Caenorhabditis elegans: one gene and its partner. The protein of the gene in region 2 purifies or fractionates together with the protein of the main gene of each other region. This does not show direct contact. Each region holds a gene or a part of one and is shown on either strand. Other genes may lie near its edges.

Region 1 (7,258 bases), on a different chromosome or scaffold from region 2:
GCCTTCCAAAACCCTCATTTTCAGGTGTAGAAGACTTTATTATCATTTTAGACATTTGTTTGAGATTTTCATTCAATTTTTTAAAAATTTAAATTTAATGTAACATTTTAAATTCAATTAAAATGAAATCCCAGCTGAATTGAATGATTCTATCAAATAAATGATGTATTCAGAAGGTCCCGTTTGATCTCTAGAAATCGCGGAAAACTAGATTTTTGGCGCGATTCCTTGAGATCAGAGCCAGTTTACTTTCTGAATACTTACTTCTGAAAAAAAAACTTACTTTAACTGTTCAGATCTCTACCGATCTTCTTTAAAACTCCCTTCAACCTGTGTGCTTTTCCTCATTTCTTTAAAACTTTCTTTCCCTTCCTCATGTCTTCAACTCAATTTCACCGATTCCAGTTTTTTTCGTCTTTTCATTTTAATCCAACGGCCAACCGGGTGCCCGTCTTTTTTATTTATAATTAGATTCCTATCATATTGATATACTATCTTTTTTACTGTAAATTGTACTTTTAGTGAATAAAAAATTAAAATCTTCATACTATTTTGCAAATATAAAGAGTTTTTCTTAAAGTTAGCAGCGGATTTGATATTTTACTGTAGATATGATAGTGGTACGGTAGATGTATTGTAGGGAAAAATATTTAGAAATTGTTTTTTTTGTTCAAATGCTAGCTTTTTTTAAATCATGATTCTTTAAACAATTTTATTATAAATTTTTTATGCCAAATAATTTTCTAAAAATTAACACTTTGAAATTCCCGAACAAAAATGTTTTTTGAAAAGTTAAAAATTTGAATTTTTCGTCTAAAGTTGTTTAAACTAAAGTTATAATTTTAACGCTTAAAAATTTTCAATTTTTGCGATTTTTAAAATTTTAAACTCTAACTTTTATGTTGAAAAAAAACGCCGACAAGACACGACAGGCAGGCAGGTAGGCGCCAGGATCCTGCCTGCCTGTCACAAATTCCAAAATTTCAACACTAAATTTCATTGACATTTTCTCAATAAATCACTCATCAGTCTGTTTTCACATACCGCCCGTTCCTCTCATCAAAAGGGGTTTTTCCATCATTTCAACGTGTGTGTGTCGGCGGTGAAATGGCGGAATCGACGGAACGGCGCCTGAATTACGGTGGGAAAAGGGAGGAAATTCAACCCCACCATGACCTCTTCTTCCCCGACAAGACATAGAGAGATGGTTTGAATTATTGCAAAATAGAGCCTGAATGAATAGGAATCGAATGCCGATGAACGAGGAACACGCCAATTTTCGATCCATGTGAGGGTCACTATGAAGAACAAAAGAAATGGAATCTAAAAGGAAACGGAAAAGGCGTCGGGAGGGGACCTTATGGATAATTATAGTCTGCAGTTTTGCTACATAACAAATTTTTGAATTTGATTCAAGGGGAGAATCTTAAAAAGATCAAGAGTTCGTGATGAAACAGAGAATGGCCAAAATTATGGACTGGCACATTAATTGAAACATTGTTCTACAGTGAAATAAATATTTTTCTGCATTTAGTTTAACAGACTTTTAAATGAGTCTAATCAGAAATTCTATAGAAAAATATTTCGATTAATAATCGGGGTTTTGAGGTACAATTGCTTCAGGTCCTGTTCTGTTCTAACCGACTCGGGAGATGTCAGCTGCTCGAAAATCATAAGAAATTTATAATGGGATGTTGACCAGCATTGAACGTGGGACATGTAATGCTAATTTTCAAGAAAACTTTGTGAGCACTTTTTGGAATTGTCGCTTGTCATTTTTCAAACTTTTATTAAAATAAAAACGTTTAGAAATAGATTTTATAAAGTAGTTTCAATGTAAAGCAATTTCAAACAGAAAGCATTTTAATCGATAGTTTGTATTTCATTTTCTAAGGTCTTGGATTTCCCTTGACAAGCATCGTCAAACCATCACGGTATTCTGCCTTGCACTCCTCCTTGATTAGCTGCAATTTTATGAAATTTATAAAGAGAAACCAATATGGTTTTCTATAGAAAATATTACGAACATCGCTCTGGGGATCTTAAATAGAAATTTGTATTTTGAACTGTATTTGGAAATATCAACATATTTTTTGTTCTATTTTCAGTACACATTTTGGCGTAAACGTTGCAGGTAATATCAGTCTACTTGATAGGCTCACCTGAGTCAATGGTTTTCCAAAAAGAGTTTGAAATTCGTGTTCAATGATCACCAAATCATTTTCCGATCGGGATACCAGAATACGAATAAGATCCTTGTCACGTGTTCCCATTCCCTGAAAACATGAATATTTCCTGAACTTTGAGGGTTTTTATCTAGAATGTTTTTAGCGTTACCAGCTTTAGTTTAACTCTTTTCCTATATCTTCATAGTTGATTAATTTTATCTAAAGCCTTACGCCTACACGCGTGCCTACTACATTGCTTACTTCTGTGCCTACTTCCGTGCCTACGTAGGAAGTTAAGCACGATATGTGTGTAGACTTGTGAAAGTTCCTACATGTAACAAAAAGATAAATGTTTAAATCAAATCAGGAAATTTTTGTCATTTACCTAAAGTCAAATTTCTCTGAACTAAGATTTCAAATATCTTGCACCTACCTTGGTTGCCAAATGAATCGAATTTGCAAAATATCGAGGCTTATTTCTCGAAGTCTCAATAAGAGACAACACCAAATTCTTGAAATCTCCGCTGAGCTCCTTGTCAATAAGTTTCTGGAACTCTTTTCCAGATTGTCTCTCGACTTCTTCAATAACTTTTTGAATATGAGCTCCATTGCATGTTGCAAAGATCTTGAACGCATCGAATTTTTCGACTCCAGACTTTTTGTCAAAACTTTTCAGAATTTGAGCAGCGTGAGGCCCAACTTTGAATGTATCAGCGAATCCACCTTCTTCGCGTTTTGCTTGGAGAATGACAATGAGAAGACGCCGGAAGTCTCCAGAAGTATCAGCAGAAATTGCATCTTCCAATGATTTGGAGTAAGTCATGAAGTAAGTGTTTCTAGAAAAAACATATGTTGATATTAATTTTTTTAAGGACATTTTCTAGAAAACAACTTTAAAATTATCATTGGGTTCGTTTTCGGGAGACCTAACTAGCTTTCAAAAGCCTACGCACAGGAATTACGACTGATTCATACTTTTGAAATCTCCGCCTTTCTGCGTGCCTACGTTATACCTTGCTTCGGGACCTACATCAAGACTGTCTGCCTATGCCTTATTCATAACCATAGTGCTGTCTGGGTTATGTTTGTCTACCCACGGACCTACCTTATGCCTGCCTAAGTGCCTACTCTGCACCAAATCGCTGCCTACCTATGTGTTTTCACGTTCCCGCCTGATGTCTATACCATGCCTACTTCCCAATTGTTTCTGTTGTTGTAAAATTTAGTTTTGACTTCAAGCTTCTAATTTCGAAAAACTTTTTAAAAACTAACTTCGCCGCTTCAATTTCCTCGTTAGTCCTAGTTGTCAGAATTTCGATCAAATTTTTCTCATTTGTTCCAAGACCCTTCACAGATCGATTCAGCTCAGTCACGTCTAGTTTAGTAGGAGTTTGAAGTAGAGCAACGAGAAAATCTTCGAAATCTCCAGAAAATGCTTTTTTGATTTCATCTTCCAAATCCTTTCCGTAACGAGTTTTGTAGGGTGTGCGGATCTGGAAATATGGAGCTTTTAGACATAGGCAGGTGAGTAGGCAGGCATGCCTACCTACCATTAAAATCTTACCATCTGTCTCTGTGTATTATTAACCGAAACCAAGATTTCCAAAATCTTCAGTTTCTCCTTGTTTCTAAGAGCCTTCTCTAGTTGCTCCGAGGCGGCAACCTACAATTTTCGGCTTAACTTTACTAGTTTCCCACAGGCTTACCTCATCAAAATACGGCTTGAAATGGATCTTTGCAGTTGCCATTATGTCGGTTTTCTAGAACTTTGAGGTATATATTTCAGGTAGACTTTTTGAGGTATTTGGATAATGGGAGAATTGAATGTGGTAAAGAATTTTGCACTTTTGGATCAGGGATTACACGACAGTTCAATATAGTACAAAGAAAAAGTGAACCGAATTTGCTTGTAAAATATGATGTATCAAGTATGTGTGAACACGGCCAATGCATCAAATTTTATGAGCAAATCTATAGAATGTGGGAAGTGCAGTACTTTCTGAATGCTTTATTGATAGCGTTTCAGATTTATTTTTTTTAGGATTTTTAAAGTAAATATTTTAATTTTCCTAAAACGCCTAATAGCTCCCTATGAGGCTGGCAGAATTCAAGATTCTCGTAATTTCGCAGTTGGATAATATTTTTTATTTATTTTCTTCGTAGGGAAGTTTCAAGTATTACGTCCACCAATGAGTGTAAATATTTGTGAAACATTGAAAAGAAGTCTGCAAAATAGTGGAAAATTGACGTCAGTTCATCTTTGATTCCTACTTTTTAAACGGAAATAAAATTAAATTGAAAGAGATTCATAACTGGTTATGCTTCGAAAATAAGGCAGAAATATATTGAGAACGAAATAACTGCGATGAGTCATTTGAAACTGTCTGAACACTTTTATTGTCCACAAAAATAGGGAGTGGTTTTTCGAAAAAGAGACCTTCGAAAAGAAAAGAGATGTGATGATGAGTCAGTGGAATTTTAGAAAAGAAATTTTGAAATACTTTTGATTTCGAAATTAAATAGAATTTTTGGGGAAACTTTCCTAACTTTGACAATTAGAAAATTTAACAATTTTGCTACAAAAAAAATTATAGCTTATTATTTGTCATTGGTATTTTTTAAGGTATTCTGGGAAATTCAAACATTTTCGTTATTTTTCTAGAATTTTGCGTGAAAAATGATGAAAAATTAAAATTAAAATTGAATCAAAAACCGTTTTCTTCCCACTATATCATGTCACTATATCATGCACTTCTTAACTTAATTTTAAAATTAAAAAGAAATATTAAAAGCAACAGAAAAGTGGAAAAAACTTGAATTTACGGTTTTACCTAACGAGACCCAATGTTTAGGGGCGGAGCGTTTAAAATTGGCGTTGGGGCGAGATTGATTTTCGATTTCGAAAGGCGTTTTTTGCGTCCCCCTAATATGACTTTTGATTTTTTTTTTTTGCAAAATAGATTCTTGCACGAAAATTTTCGGGAATATTGTTACAGAACACTTGTGAGGAAATTTGAATGTTTCACTATCACATTATTCACGAAAATTGACAGAAATATAAAGGTCTGAGAATATTATGAAAACTTATTATTTAAAATTCTGCTCAAAAATCGCAAAATAAATGCTCTGCGGATATATTGAAATTCCAAGTTCTATAAAATTGCAAAAACTTGTGAAATACCTGCCCAAATGCGAACAGATCATCATTTTCGTGTCTTTTCAAAAAGGTTGGCAGACACTTTGAAAGAGAAAGTGAGGATATTCGGAACGAATTCAATTGAAATGGTCACGGTTGAAAAGGAATTATACATTATTGATGCTAGTTAGGATATGTATAGGCTTCTATTGTGAATTACAATTGAGATCAATTTAGAGAAAATATTCTTCAAAAATATCGTATATAAATGTTGAAAAATAGAAGAACAAACTGTCTCAATATCTCAAATGTTAACTAAACAAGCAAAAGTTCTCGTTTTTTTTTTCTGCAAAGAGTCATCGAAAACTATAATAAAAAATGGGAAGAAAGAATGAGGAAATGTGTTTGTAAATAAAAAAAGAATTGGGAGAAAGTTCAAACAAATAGACATTCGAATCGTTTGTTTAAACTTCTTGAGTTTGTCCTTGTTTGATGGTGGAGTACTGTCAATGGGAGATTTTAGCAAGAGTGGAAAAATCACCAAAATCTGGGATTTTTTAAACTTAATGTCATTATTACATTTTTCTTTAAAGCAGGAGTATCGCCTGTGGGGAAATAGTCAAAAACTACATATATAGTGGCAAAAGGACCAAATATCATGGAAAAACTTTGGAAGCAGCTGGAAAGTGAGAACTGAGAAGTTTCAGACCAACTCCGCCCTTTTTTCTTTGAATTTGCTTAGGTTCGCAAAAACTTGAAATTAGCATCAAAATGTTTTATGGCTTATTTCTGTACAGTTCAAAATTCGACATATCATCGTCTACACCAAACGAACAAGTCTTCACAACAATTTTAATTCCACCGTTGTAGGCCTGAAAATTTCAATCCGGTTACAGTCACACTTAAAGGTGCATGCATGTCGGTTCACAGGTCTCACCACGCCACCAGTGCATGCCTGCTCGGTCCAAACGGAGATTTTCCCATTTTTCGCTTTCATTTAGCTAATTTTTTTGTTAAAAAGTGATTTCTAAATTTGAAAATAGTGAAATTCGGTTAAATCTTCAGCGTAAAGTGTTCAGATTTGCTTTGGACTTCTTTAAAACATTTTTAATTCAGATTTACGAGTTTCTGTGACTTGCCGATGATTATCACCGCAAAACAATGCATTTTTATAAATACGGCGTTTTGATTGATCAGCTCAGAGATTCGTTTGAGGTATTTTCTTTAATTATTTTTAATTAGTTCGTAAAATCATTATTTTCAGTGGAGAGTCGCATTCTTGGATGGATCTGTCAGTGATCATTGTTGCATCACCGTTCCTTCGGAAAAGTTTAACTTTCCGCCGACTCCAGGAGCAACTGTTAAAGCCAAATTTGAACACGCGAACAGCTTTTTGCCATCGGTATCATATTAATTATGAGTAACTTTCTCAATTTAAAATGTTCAGCTTGTCGCACAATGTGGCAGTTTTGAATGGTTTCGTGATGTAACGGTGGTGAATTCCAAAGTTGTGGTATGAAAATCGAATTATTTTACCATTTTACAATCAACTTGTTTCAGATCTTCGCTATTGTGCACTTCTCAAATGAATGTCTAGAAAGAGATCCATTTAAAATAAATGGAATGGATTACAGCATTATCGAGAACGAGAATACGGACTTTCAAAAGATTGTACTTCCAACTCGTGTGCTTCAAACCTCAATCACAAGTAGATCAAATTTGCAAAACACCGACACTCCTTTTATTTATCGAATCGGCGTATGCTGGGAGCCAATAAGTTTTGAAAACGGCGTGACTGTCAATTGGAGATATTATGCTGATTTTCCAATTACTCCCATTTTCGAGCTCTACTACAGAGAAACCGTACGTTGAGCTAAGAGCCTTAAAGCAAAATATACAACCGATTTTTCAGACTTTGCCTTATATCGCCGAGTCAATGGTATATGGAGTTTTG
Region 2 (7,258 bases):
GACAATTGATTGAATTTAAATAAAACTGGAAGCAATGATGCCTGATTACTAGTTTCCATTTAATAATTCTTCTATCGGAAACTTTTCAAAAAAAAAGTTGACATCTCTTATATGAATTCCTCGATCAGAATGACCAATCAGTTGATCGGTCAACATTTTGCGAATATTAGAAACTAAATGTGTCTGTTAACATATTTTGGAACATTCGATAACTTTTTGAAACGACTTCCAACTAAAAATTGAGTTTCTCGACGTTCCTATTAAAATTGTGATGGACATTATAGTAAACCGATCGAATCAGTGGAACATGACGGCATGAATACGTGAAAAGATCAAAGTGTTAAGATTGAAGTGTCATAAAGTTTTTTATGAATAGTGATATCATTGAGATCTTAGCGAGGACACCTGAACTAGACATTTGAACCCAAGTCTTTTAAGTTTTTTGGGTTCAGTGAGAGGCATGAACAGTGACCGAAAGATGAAGATTCATTATTTTTCTTTCTCGAAATCTTTTTTAAATTTGTCGAAACTTAAGTTGTAGGTGGTGCCAGAGAAACATTAGAGAAAAACAAAAAACTACATGGACATTGAAAGTATTTCTCGAGACATTCAGGTAGAGTGAGGCGTTGCGTGGCGCTTCTCTCCTTCAACTCGCCCTCTTTGGACCCTAGTGGCTGCATCCGTGCGTTGCGTCCTTGCTGAATGTCTAGTTAGTTTCCAATAGTAAATATTTGTTTTTTACCAAAAAATCTACATCCCGAAACAGAATGCTTCATTGTTCAAAAAAAGGAAGGTCAAATAATAATCCCAGAGGTCCCAAAAGCATCACAGCAATCATCAATAAGTTAGGTAGAATAACAGAGAAAACGGGAACTATTAAAAAATAATAAAGCAATTTGGAAATTGTGATCGAGTTGATTAAATGATTAAGCCATTGGATTGGACTTCATAAGGATAATGTCGCTTGCAACCATCTCTTTGACGAGTTCCTGAAATATATAATTTTCATGGATTTCGATAAGTAAAACCATTCTTCAATTACAATGGTTTTTATAAGTTCAAAATTTAATTATAAAAACCTTGAATACTTTTTGAAACTCACCGGAACCGTAACCTTTGCTTCCCATCCAAGAGTCTTCTTTGCTTTTTCAGCATTTCCCAATAAAGTCTCCACTTCAGTTGGTCTGTAGTACTTTGGACTAACTTTAACTCGAATAACTCCATCTTTATTCTTTCCAACTTCCTCAACACCTTCTCCTTCCCATTGCAATACTTCTCCAATTTCAGCAAATGCAAGATTACAAAACTCTCTGACACTGAATTGTTTTCCAGTTGCAATCACAAAATCATCTGGTGAGTCGTGTTGAAGAATTCTCCACATTGCTTCAACATACTCTCTGGCGTGTCCCCAATCACGAAGAGCACTCAGATTTCCGAGCTCAATGCTTTCCTGTTGCCCCAAACTGATTTTAGCGACTGAACGAGTGATCTTACGAGTCACGAATGTCTCTCCTGAAATACCAACATGAGAGTTGCTTTCAATTTTGCAGGCTTTTTTTTGCAGTTTGAAAAATTTGACGTACCTCTTCTTGGACTCTCATGGTTGAACAAAATTCCATTGCAAGCAAACATATTGTAGGCTTCACGATAGTTAACAACAATCCAGTACCCGTACATCTTGGCAACAGCATATGGAGATCTTGGATAGAATGGAGTCTTCTCACTTTGTGGAATCTCTTGAACTTTTCCATACAATTCGGATGTGGATGCTTGATAGAATCGAACTTTTTCAGTCAAACGACAAGCATGGATTGCATCGAGAAGGCGAAGAGTTCCAACAGCGTCTACTTCAGCAGTGTATTCTGGCAAATCAAAAGACACTTTGACGTGAGATTGAGCAGCCAAATGATACACCTAGAAAGAACATAATTAACTGGTTATATTTTGAGAACATATAAAACGGAGGTACAGAAAAATCTTAACACGCAGACAGACATTTTTGTCTGTCTGCGTGAAGCTTGGAATATTTGTAATTCTGTATGAATAACAATACTCACTTCGGTTGGCTCGATAGTTGAAATGAGCTTGATGAGACAAGATGAATCAGTCATATCTCCATAGTGAAGAGAGAATGAAGAATCACCGTGATGAGTAATTGGATTACTGTACAGATGTTCGATTCTTGCGGTATTGAATGAAGATGAACGACGGATGATTCCGTGAACTTTGTATCCTTTTGAAAGAAGAAGCTCAGCAAGATATGAACCGTCCTGAAAAAAGTGCTGGCGTAAATACGAAGCAAGAAAAATGATTAACATACTTGTCCAGAAATTCCAGTAATCAGAGCAACCTTGCGTGCTCTGAAAGCAGCCAACTCAGCAGCTGGAGTAGTGGACACTTCGTGGCTCATTCCGATACACGCTTCAAGACCCTGAAATTTAGAATTTTTGATATCCTATTTAAAATTACCAATCTCCCAAAGACAAAGGAACATCCTATTTACCTGTTCAGCACTAGAATCCATTTCAATTCTATTCACAAAAAGGGGGATAAATTAGGCTAACTGATAAAACTATCAGAATGATTGAGAATGTACAAAAAGCCAACAGTTAATGCAATTCGGGACACCCAAAAGCGACACGTAGGAGAGGCAATCGAAAGAGAGAGGGAGAGAGAGGGAAAAGAGGCGAAACATGGAAAAAGGGACGTGGCACTTCATTTTACGGAAAATGTATAAATGTACCAATCCTAGGCTGTGTCAATATAATAGGGGAGCATTTAGAATTGTACTAATGCAAAGTAATTAGGATACTTTTTAAATGTAAAGCGGTATGGTTAGGAAATTATAATTTCTCTATATTTTCCAGAAGACCAACATATCTTTTAAATCGGTCAAAAATACCTAGAATGTTTTAGATTTTGAACTTTTCAGTTAAGATTTTGACAATCTGCCAAACTTTGGAAACACATAATTTTTGATCAGTTTAAAACATTCATGCATTATTCGACGGTGTACTAAATTAATACAAATAATTAAAATATGAAATTCCACTAGAGCTGATCTAATTCAAGGAAATCAGTATTTATAAGACTAGGATTAAATATATAGAATTTGATAACCTTAACAAATCAGTCACATACCTCAACTTTAGATATTTCCATGTTACCAACAACTTCAGAAATATCAGAAGATTCAGACTTGCCGGTTGGCATTGCAACGGTTCAATTTAGATTTCGAATAAGAATGAAAATAATGAGGAAAAGCTGAGGAACACGCCCCCAGAATCAGGATTTTTCTCAAATAGTGGAGGATAAAAATCTAACCGTGTTCGATGGAAGAAAGATAGAGAATCCCGAATTTATTTGAGACAATGAGTGTATAGATTGGAAGAATAGAAGACGGAAAAGCCGGAGAGATTCTTATTCATTAACAAACTGGAACACGAAAATGAAAAAAAAAGAAGTGCCGTCTGATGCATTAAAAATTTCTAGATTATTTTCAACAAATACCTGATTATTTCCATTGGAACAAGTCTGACAGAATATTTTTGAATCATGTGAGTTCATTGTTTCAAATATTTGTTTCGTCTAGAAGTGCATTTTAAGTATAAAGACGAAGGAATTTGCCAAGGAAACGTACATAGCAACCAAAGAATTGGAATATTTCCCATAGAAACCAGAGACAAAACGACGACAAATTAGGACTCTATTGATGAATTATTTGAAATTGAGCAATTTATTATTCAGCTTTAAAATTTTCAAAAATTTTAAAGATGAGCTTTCTCATTTTCTAAAAATATGTATCGTGGCAAGACCAATGATGTCTCAATGGAGCGCACTTTATTATGCAACCAAATTCCCAATATTCATCAATAGATTTTTTAATAAAAATATCAAACCTCAATTTTCGCATTTTGATCAGCCATTTTTACTCTTAAAAACGAGAATTAATGATGGTATGAATTTCAAAATAATAATTTTAATTAAATATAAAAAAATATTTAAATATATTAATTTATTCCACGTTAAAGAAACGTTTCATTTCATTTCAAAAATTTCAATTCCACGTTCAGAAAACGTTTCAATTGCCTAACAACAGTAAGAAGAAGATAATTAGAGAAACAGAGAAAGTGTGTTACGTGGTGAAGGTGCGGCTATGGTGATAACTGATAATATTAATAATGATAAGAAGACCCGTTCTTTTGTACTCAAGGCTCATTTTGCTCATGGAGCCGGGCCACAAAAATCAATAAATTTGCATCCTGAAGCCCTATGCCTACTCTCAACGTGGGGACGCTTTGCCAGTTGGCGTTTCTCACTGTCTCCGTCTCTAGGTTTACTCCACTCTCTCGCGTGTATTTTTGAAATGTAAAATATCCACATCAACAGTGGAAATATAGTCTACTTGTGTATTCGATTATCAATTCATAGTGCAAATAGTTTATTATCACATTGTTCTGAAATGTTCCATGCAAAAAATGATACAAATTCGAGATGATGAAGAGAGATTGATATCTTAAAAGCGGGCAAATGACACTGAAAAAAGGATTGTTCCAATGAAAACAAATGCGGCACCGATGATGTGAAACATGTTGAAAACGTTTTCAAAAACTATAAATGAGATCAAAAGCGAAAAGAATTTTCGGAGAGTTAGGACCATTGTCACGTTTAGAGATGTTGTCACGGCGGAGAGCATGTAGACACCTTTTGTGCAAGCGAATCTATAATATATAAGAATAAGAAAAATTGACCATTGAAACAAAAATGTTTTTGTTTTTTTTAATTTCTTCCGCGGAGACCCGACGTTTTGGCAAATTGCCAAACTCTTCGAAAATTATTTCGAAAATTTTTAGTTTTTCGAGAACCTATAGAGAAATACACATTTAGGTACATCAGGTGCATATTATTAAAATATTTTTTGGTTCAATTTTAAAAGTTTGAGTGACAAAAACTAAATAATTTCAATTTTTGATTGTGAATGAAACAATTAAAACGTTATTGAACAGTTTAATTTTGATATTAAGCCATTTCAGAAAAATGCCCACTGACTATACTTCACTTTCAAAGTTTAACGTCAAATTAAATAATCACTAGAACTTACTGGAATAGGCAAATTGCAAAAATATACACCCATGCCGATGGGACTACAGTATCCAATCCAGCAATAACAAATGAAGGTGTTGAGTAAGCGGCATGGAATGCTGGAACCATATCGTCACCAACGAAAGCAAACAAAGGAATTGAGAGGAAATGCTGAAATTTTAGAAATTGAAATTATTTCAGACAGGGATATCTTACCACATAAAACATCATCTCCTCATTGTGTTTTCCATGTTTTTGATAGAATGTTTCTTGATATAATCCCAAATATGCACTGAGAATCAGTGCAAAAGAAAGAAGAGCCAACCCAACGACAAATGGAGGAATTGGTATTAACCATGAGTTTGAGTCAATTCCTGATCGAATCTGTAACAATTAAATTTGCATTTCCAAATTAAAAAATTTGGAATAACTAACATTTTGTGCACCAGGCTCATAACTGGCCAACGTGAATATTACAATTCCAGCTGTAACTACCACAACTGCACTGATTTGTTTTAAACTGTACTGATAATTTCGTATAATCCATCCCATTGTCATGTTCGTAAGTAGTGTGCCCTGAATGTTTGATTCAAAATTGCAATATTCAAAAACGAACCGATTTGAAAATTATGAAAAGTGGAAAATAAATTGCAAATTTCAAAGCTAAATTGTTTGTCATGTTGACTGTAAAGAAAATCGCCACAATTTTCGCATATGACCTGAATGAGAAAATCAGTAAAATAACACCCAGGTTTTGCTCCAGAATACGGTACCCGGTCTCGACACGACAAATTTTTGTTGACTAAAAAAGGTGTGAACCTTGAAAGACCACTGTAATTTCAAATTTGTATCGATTTTCAATGGTTTTGCAGAAACGAAATTTTAAAATTACAGTACTCTTTAAAGGGGCGCGTCTTCTTCTATTCAGCACAATTTTGCCGTGTCGAGACCAGGTACCGTATAAAAATCGCAAAAATTTGCGTCTTGGTAATAAATTATTAAAAACCAACTTAATCGGTATCCTATTGGGAACCGTAAAAAATTTAGAGTGAAATATAAGACCATATGTCGCTGTGAAAATGAATGATGCGAATGTGATAAGGTTTAGACTATTTTTCACATATCTGAAAAAAATCTTTTATGAAATAAAGTTGTAGAGAACGTTGAATCTACGTTTGTAAATATTCGATTCCCGCTTGACATCCAACACAACCAAATAATGTAGTAGAGATCACTGCAGCAGCCATTTGGCACTGAAAGTTATTCGTTTATTTTGAAAAAAAGTATTTCATAAATGTTAAAAGCTAATCTGAATAATTTCCACTTTTGGTATTTGCTCATTATTTCTAATCAATAAAAATATGTTCTTTTCTCTCTGAAATTCAATAAAAGAAGCTTAAGAGACATAGAAAAGTCGAGAAATAGAAAAAGTGAACAATGAGCAGCTGTTTCAGCTACCAATCACATGCTATATCTTCCTAATAAGTACCTTGTCTAGCCGAAATGACGAGATATTTTTTGAACCAAGAACTTTGAAAAAGAAGGACTTAAAAGATAAATTAGATTTATGTGAAACGTACAGTGTTTTAGGGACAATTCGTGGGAAGCAATAGGGAATGACATTTTCAATTTTTCGCGAGTCAATAAATAAAAATTATGCAGTTTTTCGATGGGGATTCAGAGAATGATGAAGTATGTATAGTCATCAAAACTTGATTTGGTGCGTATGGAATTTTAAATTTGATGAATACACGAATAAGATTAGGAATAGTAAAAATCACAGTTGCAAGACAAAATACTTTCGACAAATTTTGGTGCACTGGCTCGGGATGGAGGGACTGGTTCGAGATTTTATATATCACAGATTTGGAGAAAAGAAAGTGATAGAAAATGATGATGAAAAGTGATAAAGAATAGAAGAGAATGTGATATGGTGCAAAGTTTGAGTTGGCACAAAAATTACAAAAATCAGGAGAAAACAATAAGAAAACATTTAGGAATGGGCTTCAACTGCATCCGAACTCGGATCCAGCTTTGTTGGTCGCTCAAGTGGATGATCGTGTTGCACCGGAACGTCACCGGTTACTGTATCCTCATCTAGAACACTTTCGGAGTCTTCTTCATTGTTTGAGTCGACGTTGACGGATGATATTTCTTCGGTAATCTGGAGACTTTT

What was found. The genes of interacting proteins can lie anywhere in the genome.
Region 1: the proteins of bre-1 (region 2) and nex-3 fractionate together in Caenorhabditis elegans (co-fractionation; one large-scale study listed by BioGRID). This does not show direct contact.

What each region holds. Positions count from the first base shown.
Region 1 is NC_003281.10:4,438,751-4,446,008, reverse strand, and holds nex-3 (Annexin), read right to left. Parts: upstream 3,929-7,258; 5' UTR 3,917-3,928; coding exon 3,875-3,916; intron 3,832-3,874; coding exon 3,733-3,831; intron 3,662-3,732; coding exon 3,441-3,661; intron 3,005-3,440; coding exon 2,602-3,004; intron 2,277-2,601; coding exon 2,163-2,276; intron 1,965-2,162; coding exon 1,890-1,964; 3' UTR 1,772-1,889; downstream 1-1,771. Other genes in the region: C28A5.2 (REJ domain-containing protein), read left to right, coding at 6,466-6,519, 6,569-6,706, 6,752-6,817, 6,865-7,167, 7,217-7,258.
Region 2 is NC_003282.8:8,983,943-8,991,200, reverse strand, and holds bre-1 (GDP-mannose 4,6 dehydratase 1), read right to left. Parts: upstream 3,279-7,258; 5' UTR 3,214-3,278; coding exon 3,142-3,213; intron 2,625-3,141; exon of another isoform or gene 2,525-2,624; coding exon of another isoform or gene 2,504-2,524; intron 2,432-2,503; coding exon 2,321-2,431; intron 2,271-2,320; coding exon 2,058-2,270; intron 1,915-2,057; coding exon 1,584-1,914; intron 1,513-1,583; coding exon 1,103-1,512; intron 990-1,102; coding exon 927-989; 3' UTR 757-926; downstream 1-756. Other genes in the region: nstp-1 (UAA transporter), read right to left, coding at 4,517-4,721, 5,102-5,253, 5,299-5,466, 5,518-5,658, 5,699-5,801, 6,093-6,206, 6,256-6,329; pdzd-8 (PDZ Domain containing), read right to left, coding at 7,076-7,246.